2 linked regions of the Styela clava genome follow. Each later gene encodes a partner of the first gene's protein in a complex. Links are inferred from orthologs where the notes say so. Each region holds a gene or a part of one and is shown on either strand. Other genes may lie near its edges.

What was found.
Region 2: ribosome biogenesis protein bop1-like (region 1) and pescadillo homolog share a complex: the UniProt entries of both Homo sapiens proteins name them as parts of the peBoW complex. The link is inferred for Styela clava from reciprocal best matches to the Homo sapiens genes BOP1 and PES1.

What each region holds. Positions count from the first base shown.
Region 1 is NC_135260.1:8,270,194-8,279,390, forward strand, and holds the start of ribosome biogenesis protein bop1-like, read right to left. Parts: upstream 3,594-9,197; 5' UTR 3,337-3,593; coding exon 3,289-3,336; intron 3,027-3,288; coding exon 2,963-3,026; intron 2,491-2,962; coding exon 2,318-2,490; intron 1,770-2,317; coding exon 1,615-1,769; intron 1,377-1,614; coding exon 1,259-1,376; intron 747-1,258; coding exon 645-746; intron 304-644; coding exon 187-303; intron 1-186. UniProt on the Homo sapiens protein: Component of the PeBoW complex, which is required for maturation of 28S and 5.8S ribosomal RNAs and formation of the 60S ribosome.
Region 2 is NC_135252.1:3,712,246-3,722,040, reverse strand, and holds the start of pescadillo homolog, read left to right. Parts: upstream 1-5,512; 5' UTR 5,513-5,651; coding exon 5,652-5,672; intron 5,673-5,778; coding exon 5,779-5,913; intron 5,914-6,740; coding exon 6,741-6,839; intron 6,840-6,916; coding exon 6,917-7,026; intron 7,027-7,711; coding exon 7,712-7,839; intron 7,840-8,109; coding exon 8,110-8,243; intron 8,244-8,638; coding exon 8,639-8,863; intron 8,864-9,524; coding exon 9,525-9,745; intron 9,746-9,795. Other genes in the region: MICAL-like protein 1, read left to right, coding at 1-1,780; uncharacterized protein K12H4.2-like, read right to left, coding at 4,208-5,017. UniProt on the Homo sapiens protein: Component of the PeBoW complex, which is required for maturation of 28S and 5.8S ribosomal RNAs and formation of the 60S ribosome.

The sequences.
Region 1 (9,197 bases):
CCGTTACGAGTTACCAGTTTTAGGAATAGCCAAGAAGTTGGATGTTTCATGTTTATGGATTTAATTAGTAAACAGGCAAACGATCTATGCAGACTAGAATATTTACAGAGTGGCCTACATAGTAATTTTTTCAAAATATTTGAAACCGATAATTGAGCAAAAATTTCATATTTTCTTTATGCTCACCAAGTTTTCATCTTTGCTATCTGCCCACAAATCAAAAAATACAGGTTGTTCATCTTCTTTTTTCTCTTTTCTAGGTTTTAACCAACCCATCTTGATGGCATGCACAAGTTTCCCAACCTAGAAATGTATTCAACAAAAACTGTTAAATCTGTAGTTTTACGTGTTTACATTAATATCAGAGTCGAGGCCAGATTTGTGTTTCAATATTCCCGGAGAATTCGGGAAATATTCGTTCGAAATTTTGAACTTCCAATACTGGTGAGCAAGGTCAAAATTTGAATGGAAACTGAAAAGCCTAACCCATTCCCATTTGATCATTTTGAAAGATGAATATTTAATGATTTTAAAACAAAAACACTTTGTTGAAATACAGTTCTAGCCATCAAACATATACCTGTTGGTCACAATTCAAATAGCAAACTGTTTCATTTCGCCAACTCAAAATTCTTACTACTGACCTTAAGTTTTTCATGATGTGATGGTGTAAAACTTCTCTTGTGTGCTGGTGCATTGTTGATAGGATGAATCATTTTTTCATGTGTGAAGAAATCGACATAAGGCTAAATAGCAAAAGACAAAACCTTATAATCCAGATCTTTGAAATAAAAAGCAAAAACTTCCTTCATTCAATAGAAACAAGCCAGGGAGGCTAATTATACTGAGATACATATCTCCTATTCCCGAGCTTCCATACTCTTTTTTTATTTCATACCTATAACGACGCTCCAGAAGTGTGTGTACCAAAATGGAGGTGACTAATTTTGTTCGCTTACTTTACATCAAGTTGTATAAAGGGACTGAAACCTATGGGCAGGGGGTATATTCACTTGGCTAACACAGACAGTCCACGAACTCGTAATAGAACTAAAATGAGAAAAATCGGAATAAGATTATGGCCCAACCCTGACCTGGTACACAAAATACAGGAGTACACCTGAGTCTATACCTGCTTTACCAACAAAATCCACTAAAGGTATGTCTCACAAAATCTAGGGGAAAATAATTTATGTATCTATTCCCTTATTAAGTCTTCAAGTTTGACGCTTATTTTTAAAACAAATTGATATGTTACCTCATAGGGATCGATTGTTGAATTATAAAATTTTCCAGTCTTAAGTCTTGACACAAGTTGCAATTCATCTTCAGTCAATTTATGATCACGAGCTGTGTTTTCATCATAAACAGTTTTCCTGAGAAAATGAAATCATAAATAGAATTAGCACCAATACTATAGACAGCAGTAGGTGGTTCAGATATTACCCATATTATATTTTCAAAGCCCAGATCATTAAAGTAAAGAGTTTAGAGACTCTTATTTAACCAAGAATTGTAGAAAACACAAGGTACAGCTGTAATATAGAAACACCAGACAATAAATTATTAAAATTCCTTAAATAAAAAAATAAATCCTTGATTCCAATATCTTACCAATAATCAGGATTGTCCATTTTGTCTAAAAATTTATCCAGTTCATCCATATTTCTGATGGGTTTAGATATTTGTTTCCCATCCAAGTCATAACCGATATGTGGGAAATTCTCGTACCATTTCATAGGTATATTTCCTACTGTGTTCCTAATATCCTGTAAATGAAGAAAATATACATATTACATAAACACCATCGGAAACATGGGAGGAAAAATGGTGCTACGCCAGGTGATTCGAATTGAGATATTCACATTTAGCAATAGGCAGTAATTTGAAAACTGTTGGCTATCTCTGAGAAATTTTCTTTTCCATATGACGCTTACTCATGTCTTTCATACTTGTACTAGCAGCAACTGATATCTAATGACATGTGTGGAATCGTTCTCGTTCGACATTGCCTATCTAATTTATTACAAGCTGGGTAAAACTAATTATAGACTATATTTTTTTATGGTTCTGTTTCAAATAAATGTAAAATTAAATTAAATGTTTCAAATAAATGTGATAAAAAATTCATTTTATAATTTTAATAATAATAATAATTTTAGCAATAGACCTTTCTGAATGATATTTTTCTTTTGATGTCGTTTTTTTAGACAAATTCACTCAAAGATTATTTGTTGTTGGATATTCGCAACAACAGACTTTGTTGAAGTGCACATTCAACAGATCTATGATATTCTTATATTATATACAATGTTACCTCTTCATCAGATGTGTCATTATCATCATTATTGGCATCTGTAACGTCAGAGGATGGTGTTACTCGCTTTATGATTGATGAAGATTCTGTTTTCTCTTGATCCTGATTTCTTTCATCACTCAATTTTAAATAATCTTCATCAACACCAGAATCTTCACTTGATAAATCAAAATCTGGGAAAATAATGAATGGAATAAAGCATAGCCCAAAAAATTGAGTTGGCGTACAATAGCGTAAATATTGACAAAATGAATCCATTCAGCAGTGCGGATAAGATAGATAGTTAATCTTGAAAAATTCATACATTAATAAACACTAATAGAAAGAGAAAATTCTGGAGAGCGAGCAAAACCTCGCAAAATAAATATAGACATATTATTGGAATTTTAGTCCGATGTTTCTGTTCGTGCTTTAATTGGAATGGCGTCATGTTTGAATCTTCATAAAGTAAATGTTTTCGACTCCCAGGGTTTGAAATTTCAAGCATGATTATTTGAGCAGGTAGGATTGGAAAATGAAATTTTCTAGAAAAAATTTTGTTACCAAGAGTGACAGATTGAGTCAAAATTTTAAGAAATGAATTGATGAAAATGTTCTCGGGAATTTAACAAGATCAATAAATTTCATAAACACAATGTTAATTACCTGACTCATTTTCACTCAGTTCATCTTCAGAGGACTCCTCTATCTTTATATTAGTGTCAAGAATCTGAATAAATAGAATAATAATATGACCGTCAAAAAATATTTCAGTATTTATATTGTCTCATATCTGCATATGTGATTACAGGATTAGTGCATAGAGGAGTACTGGAGTAGGTTAGGTCAGGTAATTTAGTAACTGCTGGTCCCAATGCTGTTTATGTCAGTAGTAATAACTTATGACGTTACCAATATTTGAAAGTTTGTGGAATTTTAAATATTTTAAAATCTGGAAATAAAATCTTCAGTTTTACAGAATTGTCACTTACTTTATTACTATCGTCATCCAGCTTCCGCTTTTCAATTGACTTCCTCATTCTAATCCAAGTGTGAGATCTTTTTAATTACTACAAATCAAATTGTTTATGCAATACTGCAATACCGGTACCCTGACCTGACAGCAGGAAAGTATGTCGGTATGGTACGTACAGACAGACGTACGGTAGGCTACTCTGGACAGAAAAATAAATCAATCAATTACAAACTTGCTGACAAAAAACTCTTCAATAATCAGGCACTATCAGTCAGTCAGTAGGTCAGCATGGGAAAATATGGCAAAAGCATCGCATGGTGACATGCTTGTGCTTTTCTTCAAAAACGTGAAAACAAACCCTTCGTAAAAAACAGGACTCCAACCACCGTCGTTACACCGATGCAATTCTGATACAGGAGACATTGCATGGCAAAAATATCTAATGGTCATTTCTGAAGCATTATATGGAAAGAAGCAATTATCAAGTTGACAAAGCACAAAAATCAAAAACTGAAATGTATTAGAGAATGCGAAAATAAGCAGATTTATATTGGTATCCGTAGTTATAAATGATATTTTACTGGATAAGATAAATGGGAAAAAGTATTAACGAAGTTTGAAGAACTTAAAAGGAAAACATCAAAAAGAATCCAGGGTAAGGTCGCTGCGCTACCCGCGAGGGGAAATGTATGGAAATATTTGTAGTAAATTTAGAAGCATATGTTTGTTTGAAGTTTGTTGGAGGACCCGGGTCGTTGCGCCGGACGAATGACGGAAATTCGTCCGGCGCTGTGCCCCCGACCACTCTAGTCCATTAGGAAGTTCAAATACCCTGTAATAAACTGATCACCCCTTACCGGAGTCGAATTTTTCCAATTTTAAGGTCCGTGATCACTCAACCGTTACGAAATTTTTTTGACATAAACTAGACCTCAACTACCTTGCATGACCCGAATATGGCGCCTCTACCTTCTACCATTCTCGAGATATAACGTGAAATCACTGGGGCGTGACTGAGGTGATGGAGAAATAAAATTTCTTTCAAAATAGATTCAAATAATTTTTCTAAACATGCCCATGCCTTTACTTTCTCAACAGGTCCTTTCAGAGGCCCGCAATAAGCCAAAATCACTAGACCATGACTGGGGAGTGAGAGAAAAAAAATTTCTTGAAAAAAGCATTAAACTAAATTTTCCCAACATATCTATCTATTTTATTTCTCGATAGCTCAATTTTTAGGTGCGCAACCTTCTTACGCCACTGGAGGGCGATTGGGAGGGGGAATTCCCAAGATTCAGGTGGTGAAATATTCTATATATTAGTCCCTTTGAGGTTTAAGCATCACTTTGCCCCAAAACCAATTCCAAGTGCTCCTAATAGCCCAAAAACCATATTATCTAAGTGGGCGTGGCTTTCCACACGTTTTCTCACCACTGGGGGGGCGGTGGCAGTGCCCCCACCCCCAATTGCACTTGGAAAAAATCCCAATACTCGGGCAAACGCTTTCTGGCCCCGGAAACGCAGCTAAACGACTTCTAAACCCCAAAATCACTCTTGCGAGACTTGATTGACAGCTTGAAATAATTAATGTCACGCAACCTTAAATTTGGGCCACCAAAAGCCCGTTTTGGCCCACTTCCTTTGGCCCGATCGTTCTGAAAAATTTTATTTGCTATTTTGGTAACTGCACCCTACTACATGCCAAGTTTCGTTCCGATCGGCCCGCCAGTTTTCTGGGAAATGGTAACTCGATGGGTCTTAGCCAAGAGACTTCGTCACATTATTTTTGCCCTACGCGCAAAGTCTTTTGACCATTACTGTGCATACGCACTAAAGTGCTACACTGTTGCCTGACCATCCAGGGGAAGGTCGCTACGCTACCCGCGAGGGGAAATGTATGGAAATATTTTTAGTAAATTAAGAAGCAGATGTTTGTTTGAAGTTTGTTGGAGGACCCGGGTCGTTGCGTCGGACGAATGGCGGAAATTCGTCCGGCGCTGTGCCCCCGACCCCTCTAGTCCATTAAGAAGTTCAAATACCCTGTAATAAACTGATCACCCCTAACCGGAGTGGAATTTTTCTAATTTTAAGGTCCGTGATCACTCAACCGTGACGAATTTTTTTTGCCATAAACTACCCCTCAACTACCTTGTATGACCCGAATATGGCACCTCTACCTTCTACCATTCTCCAGATATAACGTAAAATCACTGGAGCGTGACTGAGGAGATGGAGAAATAAAATTTCTTTCAAAATAGATTCAAATAATTTTTCTAAACATGCCCATGCCTTTACTTTCTCAACAGGTCCTTTCAGAGGCCTGCAATAAGCCAAAATCACTAGACCATGACTGGGGAGTGAGAGAAAAAAAATTTCTTGAAAAAAGCATTAAACTAAATTTTCCCAACATACCTATCTATTTTATTTCTCGATATCTTCGTTTTTAGGTGCGCAACCTTCTTACGCCACTGGAGGGCGATTGGGAGGGGGAAGTCCCAAAGTTGAGGTGGTGAAATATTCTATATATTGGTCCCTTTGAGATTTGAGCATCACTTTGCCCAAAAACCAATTCCAAGTGCTCCTAATAGCCCCAAAACGATATTACCTAAGTGGGCGTGGCTTTCCACACGTTTTCTCACCATTGGGGGGGCGGTGGCACTGCCCCCACCCCCAAATATACTTGGAAAAATTCCCAATACTCGGGCAAACGCTCTCCGACCCCGGAAACAGAGCTAAACGGCCTCTAAACCCCAAACTCACTCTCGCGTGACTTGACGGACAGCCGATTGACCAATCAGCAGCTTCGGGCCACTAAAATCCCGTTTTGGCCCACTTCCTTTGGCCCGATCGCTCCCAAAAATTTTCTGTGTTCTTTTGGTAACTAGCCCCCGCTACATGCAAAGTTTCGTCCGGATCGGCCCTGTGGTTCTTCAGATAATAGTGATTCACGGTCGCTTAGAGTAGTTAGCTTTAGCTATTGACTTTCGTGCAACGAAATTTGATTCTATACTGTGCATACGCACTTTCAGTGCTCTCGGGTTGCCTAACCATCCAGAATAAACGTCTGCCTGCGGCACACGACGAGGGGGGCCGCGGGCGCACAAATGGTTGGTTGGGCTCAGGCCGGTTTTGTCTACGACGCTCGGGCCGCCATCCGTTGCGTCGGACGGATCGCGGCATGATCCGACCGACGCCATCGGCCCCCCCTAACATAAAGGGTTTCAACGGTACGGACTGGAGTATATTTTTATCAATTTTAAGGTCCGTGATCACTCGACCATGACGAAATTTTATAGGCATAAACTTTACTCCAACTACCTCGTATACCCCAAATACGAGACCCCTATCTATTACCGTTCTCGAGATATGGCCTAAAATCACTGGACCGTGACTGAAGGCTAATAGAAAAAAAATTTTGCTGATACGTGATTGGAATAATTTTTCTGATCACGCCCATGCCTTTAGATTCTTGATATGACCTCTCAGAAGCCGGCAAAAGGCCAAAATCACTAGACCGTGACGGAGGCACGGGAGCAAAAAAATTTCTTGGAAAAAGTATTAAACTAAACTTTCTCAACCTACCTATGTATTTTTTTTCCTCAATATCTCAAATCTTAAGCGCAACATTCCGAACTCACTGGACCGTTACGGGGAAGGGGAATCCCCAAAGTTGAGGTGGTAATATATTCTATTAATTAGTCCCTTCCATAAATATGCATCACTTTGCCCCAAAACCGATTCCAAAGACTCCTAATCGTCCAAAAACCATATTACCCAAGTGGGCGTGGCTTTCCACAAGTTTTCTCACCACTGGGGGGGCGGGGGCACTTCCCCCACCCCCAAACATGTTTGGAAAAATTCCCAATGCCCGGGCGAACTGTTTCCCGGCCCGGAAACGCAGCCAAACGGCTTCTAAACCCCAAAATCACTCTTGCGTGACTTGACTGACAGCCCATTGACCAATCAGCAGCTTTGGGCCACTAAAAGCCAGTTTTGGCCCACTTGCCCTGGCCCGATCGTTCCGAAAAATTTTCTTTGTTAGTTTCCCCCCGTCCCCCATCTTTTGACACCTCGGGCGTGTCTCTACCATTTGCGGTTCTCCGAAAACACTCACTACTAGAGCCGTCGCCTATATTACCCACATATCATACACTTGGCCGCCGGCTTTCGATTTCTGTTGCAACTATCGTTGCCATATGCACTGACGTGGGCGGAATAGCATCCAGAATAAACGTCTGCCTGCGGCACACGACGAGGGGGGCCGCGGGCGCACAAATGGTTGGTTGGGCTCAGGCCGGTTTTGTCTACGACGCTCGAGCCGCAATCTGTTGCGTCGGACGGATCGCGGCATGATCCGACCGACGCCATCGGCCCCCCCTAACATAAAGGGTTTCAACGGTACGGACTGGAGTATATTTTTATCAATTTTGAGGTCAGTGATCACTCGACCGTGACGAAATTCTATAGGCATAAACTTTACTCCAACTACCTCGTATACCCCAAATACGAGACCCCTATCTATTACCGTTCTCGAGATATGGCCTAAAATCACTGGACCGTGACTGAAGGCTAATAGAAAAAAAATTTTGCTGATACGTGATTGGAATAATTTTTCTGATCACGCCCATGCCTTTAGATTCTTGATATGACCTCTCAGAAGCCGGCAAAAGACCAAAATCACTAGACCGTGACAGAGGCACGGGAGCAAAAAAATTTCTTGAAAAAAGTATTAAACTAAACTTTCTCAACCTACCTATGTATTTTTTTTCCTCAATATCTCAAATCTTAAGCGCAACATTCCGAACTCACTGGACCGTTACGGGGAAGGGGAATCCCCAAAGTTGAGGTGGTAATATATTCTATTAATTAGTCCCTTCCATAAATATGCATCACTTTGCCCCAAAACCGATTCCAAAGACTCCTAATCGTCCAAAAACCATATTACCCAAGTGGGCGTGGCTTTCCACACGTTTTCTCACCACTGGGGGGGCGGGGGCACTTCCCCCACCCCCAAACATGTTTGGAAAAATTCCCAATGCCCGGGCGAACCGTTTCCCGGCCCGGAAACGCAGCCAAACGGCTTCTAAACCCCAAAATCACTCTTGCGTGACTTGACTGACAGCCCATTGACCAATCAGCAGCTTTGGGCCACTAAAAGCCAGTTTTGGCCCACTTGCCCTGGCCCGATCGTTCCGAAAAATTTTCTTTGTTAGTTTCCCCCCGTCCCCCATCTTTTGACACCTCGGGCGTGTCTCTACCATTTGCGGTTCTCCGAAAACACTCACTACTAGAGCCGTCGCCTATATTACCCACATATCATACACTTGGCCGCCGGCTTTCGATTTCTGTTGCAACTATCGTTGCCATATGCACTGACGTGGGCGGAATAGCATCCAGGGGAAGGTCGCTACGCTACCCGCGAGGGGAAATGTATGGAAATATTTTTAGTAAATTAAGAAGCATTTGTTTGTTTGAAGTTTGTTGGAGGACCCGGGTCGTTGCGCCGGACGAATGACGGAAATTCGTCCGGCGCTGTGCCCCCCGACCCCGCTAGTCCATTAAGAAGTTCAAATACCCTGTAATAAACTGATCACCACTAACCGGAGTCGAATTTTTCCAATTATAAGGTCCGTGATCACTCAACCGTGACGAATTTTTTTTGACATAAACTAGACCTCAACTACCTTGTATGACCCAAATATGGCACCTCTACCTTCTACCATTCTCCAGATATAACGTAAAATCACTGGAGCGTGACTGAGGAGATGGAGAAATAAAATTTCTTTCAAAATAGATTCAAATAATTTTTTTAAACATGCCCGTGCCTTTACTTTCTCAACAGGTCCTTTCAGAGGCCTGCAATAGGCCAAAATCACTAGACCATGACTGGGGAGTGAGAGAAAAAAAATTTCTTGAAAAAAGCAT
Region 2 (9,795 bases), on another chromosome or scaffold:
CCATCGAACATGTCACAGAAATGATTCTCTTGAAAAAATCAGAGGTAAAAATTACTTCATAAAACACCAAGATGAGCCAGAGTTGCCTAAGAAAAATGTAAATGATGAAGAGAAAGCGAAAACTGCAGTCGAGCAAGAGACGACCAAAAATGTCGTACATAAGCCAGTGCCCACTGTTGTATCTGAAAGGGAAAACTACACTAAACCGAATCGACTAGAAGAATTGCCAAATATGGTTCAGTCTCTAGCAGATGCCGAAGTTAAAACAGTCAATATGGCAGAAATTACACCTTCACCAACCACAGAAAATAAACCACTACCAAACAATCCTAATGATGTAGCTCCATCTCTTGTCAGTGAGTTACCAGTCGCCAGACATACTAACAAACAACAAAGCGAAATCAAGAGTTCACCAACAAAGCCGAAACCCAGAGCAAGAACTTTGCATTCTAATGAGGAAAAACCAATTGCTCCAGTTCCAGTTGCACGGCCTCGTTCTAAAGATGTTAGCAATGACTCAAATCAAGTCGAAGATAATTCTAAAGCATCCTATAGGAAATCGTTGAATCCATTTGAATTGGAATCTGGGTCAGATTCTGACACTACTCTATCTTCTACATCCTCTGAAGAAGATGGCAATCCGTTTGAAATTACCCCCAAAGTACAGGAGAGAAAGGAAGATGCATCTAAAAACGAGAGAACAGAAGATAAACTTACTGAGATCATCAATGATGAGAATAGTGCAGATGAAGGCGGCAATCCTTTTGGTGATCCACCAGAAATTGATCAGCCTGAAGAAGTTTCCAATAAAGAGTCGGATAATGAAGGAAATCCATTTGGAGATGCAGATGAAGAAGAGCCTAAGAATAAAGCTGTTGATAGAGTCAACCCTTTTAATACTGAAGTTTATAAGAATTCTGCAAAACTTGATGACAAGATAGTAGTAAAGAAGAAACGGCCAGCTCCAGCACCACCAAAATCAACTTCAGCTCTTCTATCAACACAATCACCACACAAAAAAACAGCTGCCCCATCTAGGCCACCAGGATGGAAGGATACATCAAGTCAGAAAATGGTTGAATTGAATAAGGCTAATGAAAAAGATCCACGCTATACTAAAAATAGTACCAAGCCACAGTCGTCTTCAAAAGCTAGAGCCATGCACAAAAGCCCCAAGGCCCGTTCAGCACCTGGGTATGGATATCCACTTGTTAAGCGAAAAGTAGAAATAAAAATGTCGGAACAAGAGATTGCTAACGAATTGAAGTTACTCGATGTTCAATTAACTGATTATGAAACAAAGGGTGTAAAATTAGAAGAAATGTTGCGGTTTGCAATGGATAGTGAATGTGAGTGGACATCAGAAGAAGATGAGTTGCTGCAGGAGTGGTTTCAACTGGTTAATAAGAAAAATCAATTGCTCAGGCAAGAGTCTGACCTTGTGTTTCAGATGCAACAACAAAAACATGAACAGGAGCATGCAGATATTGAATTTCAATTGCGGAAGCTTTTTAACAAACCGGAGTCTACTAAAACTGATCAAGATAAAATCGATGAAGAAAATCTGCTGCAAAAACTTCTTGAGGTTGTTGAACGGAGGAATGTAATTGTTAATTCCATTGAAGAAGAACGCGTGAAAGAGGCAGAGGAAGATTCAGCGTATGAAAAAATGAAAAGGTTACAACAGAATCCAAGCAAAAAGAAAAAGAAGAATAAAGTCAAGAAGATGTTCAGCAAGAAAGGCAAAACAGACAAAGAAAATACTGCTAAGACAAAGTGAACGCAATAAAAACTATGTTACTGATTTTATCATAAGGAATGATTGTTTTCTACCTAAAACACATCCTCCGTTACATAGATATATAAATATACATGACTCATACATGATTCACTAATATTTTTATGAGCTAAATGAAATTAAGTATCCCTATAAATCATATCATTGACTGGCAACTCACCCCTACGACTTCTAAACATTGTATATATAAATACTTTCTATATTTGGAATTGTGAAGATTTAAGATACAAATATTATCTTTAATGACATTGACTCATAAAACAAATTTGTTTGCTAGAGCAATCATAGAAATGGATAATTTTGTATGTCCAATACAATCACTGTCTGTTAAATTCGGCCAAAAATGAGGATAAATAGTACTAACCATACGCATTTCGTATGTGTTGCTTATATACATAAATTTTTATTTAGTATTGCACATTTCATCATTATTTAGAACACCAATAATTGACATTTTCATGCATTTATAAAAGGGACATATATGTATTATATGTACTATCATTGTCATACCTACACCAATGGCTATAGTCCGAATACCCTTATTAGCATTGCACCAGATTCATGACAGTAATTATTTTCCGTGCAATCTGTCTTTTGGTGTTGAAATATTGCACAGCAATCAGTTTTAGTTGACAATCCTTAAGATACCATAATTTTAATGCTTCGATTTTTAGGATAAGCCGTTAATTGGTTGAATTTTTCAGATAATTAGGAGTTATAACATTTGATTTTATTGAGCTGAACTTTTTGATGCCATCGCTTTTGTAAATAAGTCCTGAGACTGCAGTTGAATATTACACTGCAAATAGAATTAGCATTTGAAAGTTCAAACCATACAATACAGTTGCCAAACCTGTGGCTGGTCCACAGAATCTGCACAAGTGTTTATTAACAGTGTTTCAATGCCTGACAGCCATTTTTTTAAATTTATGTTTTAGCAGATCAGAGCTCACTATTCTTATTTCTATATTGCTGACTCGCTTGCCCTATTACTGCTTGATTGTATGCATTTCACCAATTTTCTCTATATCATTACATATGCTAAGCAAAGTTTTAACTATGTATATCTACATTATATATCATAACAAAAATCTTTTGTTGCATATTATGGACATTTACAATTAGGTAGCAAGCAGAAAGCCCATGAAAGATGTATTATGAGGACAATAAGACTTTGTGTTTGCTTTTCATAATTTGTCGGGTTTAGCTGAAGGTTGGAATCTTTGTAACTTGGCTCTAATCTCAGATGATGATGTGAATTGAGCCAAAAATACTTGTGACTTCAACATGATGGAAGGCTTTGAAGGAAACTTAGCCTTTTTTATCGATTCAATCCACCTTTCGTGAATTACAGTCCTAAGCCAAAAATTCACTTATTTCAGACTCGTTTGTAAATATTTATTAAATAAAAAAAATCAATACAGAATGGTAACATAGGCAAGTTATGCACACATTACCTTTGACGATTTGGCCATACACATAGTCTTGATTTATAAAAATGTTTTTGACCAATGATTTAAGTTACATTCAAGTTTGCCAGTGAACTATATTTTTTGTTCGTCAAAATCAGGCCTGCATAACTCAAATAAAAGAAAGGGCTGCAACAGACGAAACAATTGTTTGCAGGACGCAAGTTATCATTATCACCATATAACTTGTATCGTGTCATATTGTTCGTAATGTGTAAACAGTGTAACACATGATCAATTCGACACAACCATCTTTTGTTGGGATGTTGTATCTTTTTTTTCAGTCATTGTTGTTATGTTGAAAAATGCTGGAACCGAACATCTCTATTGCATACGCTGTCATACATTTGTCCCTTAAAGCGCACGAGCTAGTATGTTGTAACAAAGAATCGTAGTGCCAAAATCGACGAAAGTGGCCAACTTGGATGTCAATTGAGCATTTAGAATTAAATGAATTTATATAGAATTGACTTATAATTGGTCTTTGGCCCCACCCTCTTACATATTTTATATGCATAAGTTATTTAAATCACCTCAAGGCCCACACGTCCTGTAGGTCTGGTCTGAATGCTCAATCATATTTTTGCTGAGTGCTTGTGGAATTGAAGCATTTACTCGGAATGAAAAGAGCTTTATGAATGTTTTCGAGTAGACCAGCACACAAAATCAAATTCATCATTTTAGATTGAACAGTCTCAATAAGGTTTCACATCAGTGGGTATGGTTATTGATAGTGAGAAGTGTGGTTCTAGTACAATGTGTAAAAGCCAAGATTCTAAAAATCTTCCCATTCATTTGTAACGACAGTAGCTTGTGTTCAACAAAGTGAAACAGGAAAACATTTGGGGTAAAGGTTCATTTGAGTGCATTTTCTTCTTGGTTAAAAAAATTATATCTACATTGAGATATATCATCTAATGATTGTTGTCTACTCTCCTCATTAAACTAAGAAAGCATCGTCATCCTCGAGTGTGTCATCCACATTTGACTCATTCTTGTCAGATTTTGATGACATATCAAAAAAGTCTTCTGGTGGATTATCCCATGGGTTGAGGTCTTCAAGGTTTCCCAAAGCTTTAACAGTATCTTCATTCATAGACATTAAATTTAGACCATCCATTGATAATCTTTTCATGATCTCTTCGTCCGAAGGCTTCTCATTCATCAAGTCATCATATTTATGACCCAGAGTCCATAACTTTTCGAGGTTATACTTTTCACGAGTGTCTTCAAGCATTATATGAATCACCATATTTCCCATGTCTATGCACTGCCAATCATCACTAATTCTTTTTCCTTCAATAAGTGTGAAAGGTTGCATACCCCTTCGTTTCGACTTATACAACTTGTTTGCCATTTCAGCAATGCTTGCAACATGCCTTGCCGACGTTGCAGTGCATATAATAAAGTGGTCAACATAGCACATTTTTTTGGGAACTTCAATTACAACGATGTCCAATGAGCCTTCCTCGTTTAAAAACTGAATGACCTCATCTAGATCGAGTACCCCCCGTTTTTTTGATAGAAAGTCTGATTTATCTTGTCGTCTTATAGTATCCCACGAGACTGTTGAACCAGATGTTGGTGGACTTTCCAAGTTTTCACTAGTCTCATGAGAACGAGAATAATAGGCAGTAGAATTACATTGATTGTAAGTGGGGCTGCATAGTTCACATGAATGACAAATGAAGCGTCCACTCCTGAGGGGCTGAAAGCGCTTCAAAATATTCCGAATAAACATCGTCGACATAATAGCAAATTAGTCTATGCTAAACCCCTCAATTGTGTCAACAATGAGCCGAAGATTATTCAATAAGGAATTCACAGATACTCGTAAAAGTCGCGCCTCAGCTGCGGTCCAGTATACGCAGAGTAAATTATTGTTTACTTCAATCACTTTATCCACCAATTGCCTTCGAGGCTCAACGTCTACAATCAGAGTATTCTTTGCAATCAACGCATGTTTAGCGTTTTTCATGGGAACTTTGATTTCGAACCTCAACACCGACCTCCCATGCACAATAGAAGCCATTTGCTACACAACAAATAACTTGAGGGAAAATGTGTTCACCAGTTCAAGTCGGCCCACAAGTCCCGCTAGAGAGTCCCACAACTGTCAAGAAATAAAAACTAATGAGATCGAATAAAATATGGAATGACAATTTAAATTTTATGAAAAGTACGAATAACACTAGAAATCAATAAACGCTTCTTCTTTTTAATATTCATTGACGACAAACCTTATTTCACGCTTCAGATCACAAACCACGTGCTGAATAAGAGGGGAAACACCGATGTATGACTCCTCTATGATAGATCCACGTTTTGGTAGAGATTTGGAATAACGTCGCTGTGATCTATTGCTACCAAACATCTTATCTGACATGGGAAGAATAAAAAAGAAGGTATTTATGTATAATTTATATAATTATTACATAATTTTTTGACTTATCTTTTTACTTTTATATACCAAGCACTCATATTCACTGTGAAACTATGTTATCTGTTTAGCATGAAGCCGGAGCTGCAACGCAATACATAACTCGAAAGCATGCTTGCAAGAGACTTCAGCTCAGTTTGGCCAACTTTCGACGAATTTGTATTCTAAAGGGCATTTATCCTCATGAACCAGCACATAAAAAGAAGGTGAATTTTTGTTTTGTCAAGCATCTAAAGAATTTCAATAGTTGATTATAATTTATTGACGCCAGATTATCTGAATATGGTATTTTTTGCAGTTATTGATAAATGTTTTTGTCACAATGATACAATCGTTGATATATGAGCTTTAGTAATATAAGGTCACATTCTTGTTTTATACTATTCAATTATAATCAACTGACTCATCTATAGAGGAGGGACAGATAGAAATAACTGACTGAAACGGCGGGCCACACCTTTTTTTAACATAGACTATCTAGTAGTTGCGTGGGCACAAAAATTTTGGTTATTGGATCTTGTGACATGCGTCGAGACGACATGCGACAAACCAGCTGCTAAGACACTGATATCTTCGCATCGCAGAGGGATTGAAAATTCTCGCACATACCGAATTAAATTAAACACATCATTCAAAATTGGCACTTCTCCAATTTTTACTTGAGGGCCGCAGGTTGCACACCCCTGCGGTAAAGTAAAATTATTGGTGTTTGTTCCTGCTCTAGAAAGTTTATGTTAAATGAAAGTTGCTGTCCTGGTTCCACCCAGTTATTTGTATCTGATGCTTTTGTATTGAAGTTTACACTCACTTGACATATACCCTTCAATGATGATATAGGTTGTTTGCCAGTTCTGCTTCTGATATTTGTGATGTGACTGCAGCCAATTTATTCTGAGAATTTTTTGTTAGCTATTTATATGTGGTCAATAGTTGAGTTAGAAAATTGAAATGAAATGAAGGTAAATTTGTATCATACAGGATTTCTGATGGGTTGTAAATTTGTATATTATTTTTATACTAATTCTATTTTAAGGTGAATAAAGGAAGCACTGCAAATCGTACATTCTACTTCTTGAAAGACATTCAATTTCTGGCACACGAACCTGTTATAAGCAAATTTCGTGAACATAAAGTAAGTCTTGGTTAACCTTTTTTATATCAGATTTATTTTAAAATTACTAGCGCTGTAAGTGTTTGGTCTCTTTTTAGACTTATATAAAAAAGTTGAAAAAAGCAACGGCAAAGGATGAAAAATCGAGAGCAGCATACTTGAGAGAAAATAAACCAACTTACAAGATTGATCACATTGTGAGGGAAAGGTAACAATATTTCCATAAGCATTACTGAAATACTCGTCATTTTAATTTTGGCTTTTATTTTTGTTGGAATTAGCATCTCACTCACTTTTTATAGAGTGTTATCAAATCTTTGCTACTTAAGAAACTAGTTTGTATTTCCTGAGCCCTCATAAGTCAGTCAATTTTATTACACCTTTGGTGAGGTTTTGGACCAGAGATGAACTGCTACGTCAAAATAGTTCTAACACTCTAGGTCAGCGGTTCCTAACCTTTTCAACTTGGCAGACTGATGACATCTTATGAAATGACCTCGCGGACCGGCAACAAATATTGAAATGACTGACACAAAGCATGGAACTAAAATAGGAAAAACATGAACGAGGTCTCATTTTAATGAGTGTCCTTTTTTCTTGCATTTGCTGTTTTATTGTTCTTGACTGAGTGAAACTCACGGGGCTAATACCACACTTACCGAAAAATTCGCCTAATAATGCAATGCAACTGCATGTTTTTTATGACCAAGCGATTGCACTGAGAGAGAAAAGTGAAATTTGCTCGTTCTGGTCTGCAGACCAGCAGTTTGGAACCACTGCATTAGAACATGGTGCCCACACAGTCTTGAGTTATACAATATACCGGTAGGTAGGTTAGATTAACTTGTCTCCTATGACAGTGCTGGTGACAGGGGTGTATTGATATTTTTCAGATATCCAACATTTACAGGAGCTATCCAAGATTTGGACGATGCTCTGTGCATGTGTTTCTTGTTTTCTAATCTACCAAAATCACACAGTATTCATTCTGAAACAGTTCAGCTTTGTAGAAGGCTTACAGGTAATTTTGTTTTTGAACACAGCCCGATTAAAAGGCTTTGCAAAATGAGCTTATTTTGATTACATGGATTTTAAGTAAAATATTTCTTTCATGAATCTTGTTTGAACTAGGGGTGTTTGATGTTCAATATGTAATTTATGCTTGACAAACATTATGGATAGGCTTATAGAATTAGTATATTTTCTCATGCCATCCTTTATTTTTCTACTTTTTTGTATATATTAATTAGATAATACTCATGTTTAGATTTATTAATATTTTTTCTTATAGTGGAATTCATGCATTATGTGATTGAAGCAAAAGCTCTGAGAAAAGTCTTTATTTCAATCAAAGGAATATATTTTCAATCTGAGATAATGGGACAGTCAGTGACATGGATTACACCACATAATTTTTCACATCATGTAAGTTAATATGACCACTACAACATAACATCATCCCGAATGCAGTTTTGCAGATTCCTGACTCAAAATTATGATACAAGGGTTTTAAATCACAAAATTAAACTCGAATATAAAATTTTACCTAAAATAGTACTAGTATTAATATTAGAAATTGAATTAATAAAAACAATCTGAAAAGGATAGATTTTTTATCCTGGAGTAAAAAATAATTAGATGGTTAGGAGCTGGAACCACTGAAATTTTATGAAGCTCTGGCTCTAGCTTCATTTATTATGGTAAGCGCTGCTACAAAAGGTAATTTACTTTATCCAATACAAGATCCATCTGGCTGGAACTGTTGGGATTTGTGTACAGCTTCTATCTCATTTTTATGTTCGTTTAAAATAATATTTCAGCACCCAGAAGATGTTGATTTCAAAGTGATGTCGACGTTCACAGAATTTTTTCGAAATATGCTTGGATTTGTTCTTTTCAAATTATATAATGACATCAATTTACATTATCCTCCTCGGATATCGATAACAAGCACAGCAGAGTCTGAAAAAGATGACGAAAAGAGAGATGATGGAGATCTAAAAGACCTGCCAAAGTTTTGCATGGATAATGAAGTTCATTCAGAGGTTTGCCACCAACTATATTTATACTGAGGATGAATAAGGCCCAGCCGGAGCAAATCTATGTATTTTACCAACATTTAGAATTACTATACAGAAAAAATTCACTAAGGCGTGATATGGAAAAAGACACTAGCTTGTAGAAAACATGAAAATTATCAAGGCGTGAAATAATTGAAGTTTTTCTGCGTAGTAATTTGAAACTTCTGCAAATTAAATCAGTTCAGCAACACCGGTTATGCTTTATTTATCCTTGAGGTTTGTTAATGTCATTCTTAAACATTTTTGTCACATTTAGAATTATTATGCTACATGTTGCCATCGAGTGGAATTATTGGGGCTTACAACGTTTCTCTCTTCAACAACGTGATAAAATTTTGTAGTTTTGACATGCAATGAAATGAGGGACTTTAGTCAAATTTTTGATGAGACAGACCTTCCTCATGAGAGTTCCTCATTGAAAGGCTGCTGTTATCTGTGGTGTAAATTGTTCAACTCCAATACGCCAACAAATATTTTCCATTAGCAATTGATATTGGTATTTGCTATTGGCAATAATTCATTTTATTTTGTGAATATACTTGAACAAGATTATTTCTTTTACAATTAAATTCAAAATATTTATTTTATTATTATTATACCAATTACATCAAGTTTATTTTTACAGAGAGTTACGAGTCTTAACACACCGTTAGCAAGGACAGAGATAGATGATCAATCTACTGGGATCCAGGATGAGGAAGTTGCTTTACTTGCTGGAAATACGGAATCAATTGCAAAGCAAAAAGAAGAAGATGAGGCTTTGAAAAAATTTCAGAATCTTTTTTCGAATTGTAAATTTTTTCTTGGAAGAGAAGTCCCCAAAGAAACGCTGGTCTTTGTTATCAGGTACTATAATGTAGATGTTGGACGATGCTTATATATCTATAGCAGCATAA